Daphnia pulex: one gene and its partner. The protein of the gene in region 1 purifies or fractionates together with the protein of each later gene. This does not show direct contact. Links are inferred from orthologs where the notes say so. Each region holds a gene or a part of one and is shown on either strand. Other genes may lie near its edges.

Region 1 (3,949 bases):
GAAAACAAACACATAGTTTGATCGTCATCTTTTAGCATCTTGAAAGCAAATACCATGGTCAAGACGAGTTTTTCCGCTTCCATCACGCTGGGCAACTGAACTCGCAGGGCCATATCGCTGAGCGAAAGCGTCAGAAAAGTCTGAGTCAGTCGCTGAATAATCTTCTTGTAGAGCGATTGTTGTACTTGTTTGGCCAGACCCCAGTTATTTTCACGCTGTAACAATTCTCGGTGCTTTTGGAGGACAAGTTCCAGTGACGTCGGCTTGTTGGTAGCAAATACCGTCGTGATTTCGTGGTAGATGGCGCTCATGGGTTTCAGGAGCCGATTAACCACTTGAGATGTGTATTTGGGAAGAGGTGCCACCTAGTCTCGTTTCAAATGACAATGTGAATCGGAAATTGAACGAACATTGCGCGACTATTTGATCCATACCTTTCCATGAAGAATGAGTGAGACGAGAATGTACTTTTTGTACGATTCCAGCATGATGTGAGATACGGCTGAAGATGGTGTCGTCAAAGCTACTTCGAATGAATACAGGGCTCGCTCAAAGTTTTTGACAGCCATGTTGATAACTCCCCCATAGTAGTAGTAGAGCAAGAAATGCTTGGCATCAAAATATCCATTCTACAAACACATTTGTCATTAGAATTTTCTGTAATCAGTGCACTAGAACCTGAAAAAGCAATTTACCTCTGAATTGATTTCAGAAATCTCAACATTCAAAAACTCCAAGGCAGGTTTTAAATTCTGTGCCATCAAACAGAGTTGGAGAAGGCTAGCGTGGATAGACGTCAGCTGTGTTTCATTCATTCTGGCTTTCCGAATAGCTTTGGTAAGGGGAACAATACCCCTGGCAGGTGTCTCTCGTTCCACTAGGCATTGGGTAAACTGGTTACACAGCTCAGCGACTGCACAGAACAATTTATTATGAATTATTCAATTGTAAGAGTGCAATATTAGAAGCTTACATGAGTCAGGAGCACAGCGAATTTGTTCACCATTGCAAACTGTGATGAACTGACTGACTTGACTGATGAGCACTTCGGGTTCTGGAACTTGAATTCCTTGATTTTGAGCTGCATTTTGGTTGAGAATCATGAACTTTACCATGTAAATTGCCAAAACACCTAGACTGTGAAGTTGTGGGTCAAGAGTATCCAGAACAGTGTCTAAATGTTCGGAATTCCTCATGAGTACGTCGGGCGACTTGCCGAGAAAATCATATAGTTCTCGCCAGCTTCCTATCAGTTTGATACATAGAAAATTGAATATTTTTAGTGTCCACAAATTATGAAATACAACTGTCGTTCAAAACAAACCTTCGCCAGAGAGATTACGAACAGAATTTACAAAATGTTCTAGGGATGACGCCATATTCAAATTTGAAGAATATTAGATTGAAAGATATTGAATTGAAGAGAGAAATATTTGGATGAGCCAGCAAACGTCGTCTGCAGTTGTCTTTATTCGTTGATAAACGCGCCAATAGAGGGTATATTCGTAGATGCAAGTAGCACCACTGGCGGGTGGCGGCAGGATCACACAAACACTTTTACTGAATAATTTAAAAACAAAATGAACATAATTATAAGCGAAATAACCGCGATTTAATTTTATTCTAATTTGATGATGAATAATCGAAAGTAATCAAGTTTTTAATCAAATAAGAAACTTTTTTTATGAATCCCTGCCATCTATCATCAATGAAGTTGAAATTTTAGCAGACGTTAAAAGTTGAAAGAGGAAAAAAACAATAACAAATCCCATTTTCGCCTACTCTTGAATTTGTTGTGACAATTCTATGTATTTCTGGTATTTTTACAAATAGTTCGAATTTTGTTGATTATTTTCCTGCTTTGAATAGCCATTAGTATTATAATGGCAGTAAAATTTGGTTTAAGTTTGAATCGAATTCTCCAAAGAGCCTTACCTCAAGTTCATAATTGCAAGCTACTGCCATGCTTACAGATCCGTCACATTCATATAAATAGTCTTCATTTTAAAAATAAAGAACCCAACGAACTGATTGTTAGACCTTCTATGTTTTATGTTCCAGAAGGAGATAGAAATAAAGACACATTCTTAGAAGCTGTAAAAATTTACACAACAAGACCAGGGCCCCGTAGGGCACAAGTGGAATTCATCTATGCTGCTCTGAAGGAAATGGAAGAATTTGGTGTGCATCGTGACCTGGAAGCATATAAAGACATCATTGATATATTACCAAAGGGAAAATATATTCCAACAAATATGTTTCAAGCAGAATTTATGCATTATCCAAAACAACAGCAATGTATAATAGATGTTCTGGAACAGATGGAAAACAATGGTTAGAATATCTTTGCCTCAAATCAGTTTAAATTATTTTATGTGTTTTTATTTCATTTTTAGGTGTTTGTCCAGATAAAGAAACTGACCAAATGGTTCTTAATATTTTTGGTCGCCATGGAGCTCCCACCAAAAAACTTAGAAGGATGGCTTATTGGATGCCTAAGTTTAAAAACCAATCTCCATGGGCACTCCCCCAAAAGATTCCTAACTCAAATCTTGAAATAGCAAAACTTGCTGTCCAGAGAATGGGTAGTGTTGATCCAGCTACAGAGATGAACATTTTTCAGACTAGTGAGTTGCAAGACGCCATTGACGATACTTGGATCGTCAATGGTCAAAGCGCCAATCAAAGAGACCTTTTAGCCAAACTCAAAGAAAAGCAAACCGTCTACGTTGAAGGCGCTTTCACAATTTGGTTAAGAAGAACCAGTATAAATTACTTTATTTTGCGTTCTGAACCTGTTCCGTTAACGGAAGAAGAGCAGAAACAGCAGAATGAATATGATTATGATGGTATGTGTACTGAAACAGTTTAGTTTCAATTTTCTTCATTCTAGTTTTCTAATTTTATTCTTCGATTTGTTCAAGATGTAAGTGAACTGCGTTCGTGGATGTTTGGGGAAGAAAATCTTACTCGGAAAGATATCGTTGTTCAACCTTCAGTTCATGAACAAGAAGATGGGTAAACAAATATTAATCTTCATCAAATGTGTTGATTATGAGATAAATACTTTTTTTTTAAATTTTTTCAAGGACAATCCTTGCTATAGCTATCACTGGGACATGCTCAAAAGATTCCCTTCTTTCTTGGATCCGATTTTTAGAGAAAACAAATCCAAACCTAGCTAATTTGAGTATCCTGTTTGCTACTAACTCCCCCTTAGGTATGGTACCACTTATTTTATATTCAGCTTTATTTTTTACAACATGACAAATTTTTCTCTTTTTTAATAGGTGAAGTTGCACCAGCTATCGAAAGTAATATGCCATCTCAACCACTAAATAAAATCACAGGAGGTTCTGATTTGTAAATAAATGTATATGATCAGTAAAATAATAGTTTTGAATAACACATTTCCATCTAATTCACTTTTCCTGCAAATTTTGGAAAGAAAAACTAGAAATTATAGGAAATAAACAGCGATGAAAGCTGTAGCGATGGCAAATACAACAATCACAGGAGTCAATAAATTGGGTAAAGAATATGGTGGACTTTGGTCTGCATATGGTTTTCGAAAGGCTAGCTTCTCCAATTCGATGACGTTCTTACCTCTAAGTTTCATCACTTCGGAAGCTGCACGTCTTCCAGACTGCACCGCTCCACTTAAATATCCAGCCCAGTGTGTAGATGTTTCAGTCCCGCACCAGTGAATTCGACCATGCGGACGACGGAGAATACCGAATGTGAACATGATTCCAGGAACGCCGAAAGAGACTGGACAACCTCCGTTGTATTCTTCATCGGCCCATATTTTCTCAGTGAAGCTCGTCGGTTGCAACGCCCATGGTCCAAAACAATCGGAAAGACTATTCAGAACTGCCGAACGACGTTCCGCTGCCTAAATTCACATTTTAATTGTAGAACACGTTGTGTTATTTCGAAAAAGATGTAC
Region 2 (4,038 bases), on another chromosome or scaffold:
TGGTTACGACTCAAAGCATCAGACACTCAGTGGCGTAGCCTTCCCTATCTCAGAGGCTGGACTAAAAGCAATGATTGATTTTAAGCACAAAAACCATTCTTACATCCAGCTGAGCATTGGTCAGTAAACATCGCGCATAAGTGTGTTGTGCAATATTTACTTAATTTTATTTTTTTAAGATATGGCGAAAGAAGTTGTCAATCTTGAAAGCACGGACCAGATTAACGTCCACACCTTGGGCAGTCGAGTACCAGATGATCATGGCCGGTATCACCTCTTCCGTTTTCCGCACTCACACGAAGGCGATTTCCTTGAGAGCATAGGTTAGAATATTGTTTTACAAAGATATTAATTTTCAATTGAAATGCCATATCTTTACTTTATTTTCACCAGTTTTTATCTATTCTATGCCTGGCTACGCATGCTCGATTCGTGAGCGGATGCTCTACTCTAGTTGTAAAGGACCTATCACAGATTTGATTGAAAACAAACTTCTCATCACAATCGACAAAAAAGTAAATCAGTGCACTTTTTCATTCATTGCTTTACTTTATTGACTGAGTTTGAATAATCTATAAAACTCCAGATCGAAGTTGAAAAAGGAGATGAGTTAACTGAAGAATTCGTGATGGATGAGTTGCATCCGAAGAAAAATCTTCATCAACCAAAATTTGAGAAACCCAAAGGTCCTCCTGGTAGAGGTGCGCGTCGCCTGACGAGCCAAAAGCCGCAAGAATAACGTATCTGATTGGTATGATTATAAAACAAAATACCCAATATTTTAAAATTTTCTTTTGAAGATAAAGTGTGAAAGCAATGGGCATCGGTTATACGCAAGTGCCTAGTTTATAGATTCGTTTCCTATCCAGTGGTATTTAAGATCATACAAGCTGTTTGTGAAATTTGATGTGTGAAAAAAATAAATGAATAAAACCATACGAAATTTTAATTCAAATCGATTATAAGTGAAAAATAACGGCATTTATCAACGACTAATTTATTTATATATAAAGATCCACTTTTAGAATTACCATTCAGCTGGTTTCCGATTGCAATGCTTTCTGTTCGCTCACTGTATTTGGAGTCTTCTCGTTTTCTTCGTCGCTTTCGTTGGATTCATTCAAGTGTGCTTTCATCGCCACACTCAAATCGTGCATAATTCCCATTGTTCCCAAGGTTTCCTTTCGTTTAGGATTTCCGACTGTAACTTCTCTGTAAAAATCATGTTTTTCCCCTTTAAAAATAATCTTGAGAATGTTTAATGATTAACAGTTTAGTACCTATTTTGGGACTCTTTCCACCCTTTTCTCCAATAACGCAATTCTTCAGTTGTTGTGCCAGTCAACTTCAGTAATCCAACTGTAACGGCACCAGCTACAGTGCCCAAAACTCCTCCTGCAAGACCACCTGCCACCATCGCTTTTGGACCCATTGTGAATTTGTACATGGAACCTGTAAATATCTTTTATTAGATTAAGATATAACTAAACAATATCGCAATCTAATTAGGTCCTACCTGCCAATAGCCCGCCGGCTGAAAATTCAAATATGCTCGACTTATTCCGGTATGTTGAAACAGCTGTGGTAAAAAACCTATTGATTGGATAAATGTAACTTCAACTCCTGATTGTAAAAAAAAATGTATAAAGTACTAACGTGAAACCTCCTGTAAAAAGAGCAAGCCTCCATCCTACTCTCCAGCCTCCTACAGCCATTGCTCTAGTAACATTGAACTGCAGCTTGCTCTGCAATGGATGGGATTTTTATTATTTTAGTACTTTGATTTATTTAACCTTGAAGGCCCACTTACCTTGGCTTCTATATGATTCTCAAATGTGGATGCTTTATTTCTTGTTATGAAATCCTCATGTGCTAACTTTGATGCAGGAATTCCACCAATAATCATTCCTGCTAATAAACCTCCAGCTGCTGCAGCAAAAGTACTGTCAAGTTCAGGACTAACGGAATTGAATTCACTATCCAATGAAAAAGATTAAGTAATTAGTGAAAACGACGAAAACATATTAAATGGAAATACTCGGTTTTAAATATGGCCTTCAGCCGATCCCAACCGGTCTCATTTTCAGCTGTTCTTCGTGCTTCTTCCGCTAGCTTTTGCGCAGATAGGGATGTGGGATCAATAATGTCATTATTTGACAATATTTCCACACCAAAAATGCTAAGTCCTAGCCGAATCGGTATTTTTCTTCTCCACATTTTTTAAAATAATTTGTGTTTAACAAATGCTTTTCTAGCAGACGGTTATCAACTTATCATGGTGTTTTGATTCGTGATTCCATCTGATTCCACCGGTGCAATGCAGAGCGCACGATTATCTGATTATAAAAAATAAACATTTTATATTTCGGAAAAGTCAGCCAAATAAAAAATTTCGTAGCGATCTTCACACAAAATTATGGAACAATAACAAACTATAAATAACATTTTTTACAGCTAAATCATTGGCAACCCCTTCAACATTTCAGCAGAAGACCTGAATGTTTTCAAAACACCATATCCAAATGTCATCGCAGAAAGCATTTTAATAAAAAAGTTATTTTTTTCATAAACTGAACATGGATGTCCTCAGAACTAGTTTGTTGAAGACTTACTCTTCAATTGAAATACATAGACTTAAATGGAACGAAATTCTACAAGGGTTTGAATCGTCACTTAAGGTCATGTCAGGATTAAGTGATCAGCTAGAGTGTGTACTGAAAACGGAACCATGCGAGCTTTCGAGAAAATTTCCCGATTTAAACGGCAGACTGGAACAAATCATCAGGGCCTTAATGGAAGAAGAGATGATTACTATGGTACTTTTGCTGTAAGAAAAATTGCAACGTTTTTATTGTGATTCAAATTAACAATTTCTGATGCATTAGAGAAGAGCTCAACCAGGAAAATCAACGAATAAAAAATATTTGTGAAGTTACATATAAACTTTATGTGGAAGACTTTGATAAAATTCAAGCTGACACAACATTCTATGAAGGAACTTCTCTTTATCCTCCAGTCAGTTTGATGATAGAGTGGATGGATGAGATCAACATGTGCTATGCCAACAGGTACAAACTATCTTGAGTAACGATTGAATTTTGCTGCATTCAACTTACTATTATTTTCTTGTTTTGTGGTTATAGACTGATCAATGCAAAGCATTTGTTGGAGATTTTTAATTATTCGTCCCAATCTGTGACCAACTTGCAGAATATGTTAGATCCCAAGACCAATTTTTCTACAGTTGATGCTATAATGGCAAAAATGTCCATTTTTCTTCTTGAAAAATAATACATTTTTACATTTTTAACATAACATATGACTTCATGCACATACTTTTCATCTCACTCCATGTATATATCATTTCATAAACCTAATTTTTTAATGTATGTCTTCTTCTCTTCTAGTTTTCCGATAGGGACTTCGTCGCATTCACCATATACAAATACCAAGAAATTTTTCACCCGCCTATTTCCCATATCCCACACACCCACTGTGGCGCCTCTCACGAAGTGTCAAGGTCGGGAACACTTCCAGAGAAAAAAGACATGACTATCGAGTATCGATTTACCTGGGAACGATGAGGATCAACGAAGAAATCTACGTATCTAGCCTTTTTTTTTTTTTTTTTAGTACAGACCAAAGAGATAAAAGAGTTACAGACCCTTAGTTTTTCTTCTCATTGTCTCTTAGGATTAGGGTATTTAGGGTTTATTTAATTAATTTTTTTCCCCTTCTCAAAAAGTGGCAGCCCTGGGTAGTTGCTTAGAAAGTGTCGTCTGCTTAGTGTTTTCGTTCAGTTTAAAATATTTCGAAAAAGTCAGAGACAAAGGTCAAGATTTACATTGTTATAGATTTATTTGTTTGTGATAACCTTCATATTCCATGCTGTTTAGCGGGTAAATAAAACTAAGAATACAAATAGAATGATTGTGGGAGCTGTGAAGAGTTACACCTGTTCTAAATTTGTGAAATGTCAGTTTCTGACTATAGCATTTATGATGTAATTACCCTATCGATGACATGTTTGTTCTATGT

Evidence for each region.
Region 2: the proteins of evolutionarily conserved signaling intermediate in Toll pathway, mitochondrial-like (region 1) and RPII140-upstream gene protein-like purify together in Homo sapiens (affinity purification with mass spectrometry; 3 studies listed by BioGRID and IntAct, counting the BioPlex papers as one, with this or other methods). This does not show direct contact. The link is inferred for Daphnia pulex from reciprocal best matches to the Homo sapiens genes ECSIT and TIMMDC1.

Annotation. Positions count from the first base shown.
Region 1 is NC_060018.1:6,887,423-6,891,371, reverse strand, and holds evolutionarily conserved signaling intermediate in Toll pathway, mitochondrial-like, read left to right. Parts: upstream 1-1,730; 5' UTR 1,731-1,883; coding exon 1,884-2,334; intron 2,335-2,396; coding exon 2,397-2,849; intron 2,850-2,924; coding exon 2,925-3,018; intron 3,019-3,089; coding exon 3,090-3,220; intron 3,221-3,290; coding exon 3,291-3,367; 3' UTR 3,368-3,408; downstream 3,409-3,949. Other genes in the region: COP9 signalosome complex subunit 3-like, read right to left, coding at 54-365, 435-629, 696-913, 974-1,246, 1,325-1,379; probable flavin-containing monoamine oxidase A, read right to left, coding at 3,461-3,895.
Region 2 is NC_060022.1:3,771,306-3,775,343, reverse strand, and holds RPII140-upstream gene protein-like, read right to left. Parts: upstream 2,316-4,038; 5' UTR 2,218-2,315; coding exon 2,039-2,217; intron 1,977-2,038; coding exon 1,811-1,976; intron 1,746-1,810; coding exon 1,657-1,745; intron 1,594-1,656; coding exon 1,517-1,593; intron 1,453-1,516; coding exon 1,281-1,452; intron 1,213-1,280; coding exon 1,035-1,212; 3' UTR 1,032-1,034; intron 939-1,031; exon of another isoform or gene 745-938; 3' UTR 740-744; coding exon of another isoform or gene 587-739; 3' UTR 530-586; downstream 1-529. Other genes in the region: twinfilin-like, read left to right, coding at 1-119, 180-323, 394-515, 587-739.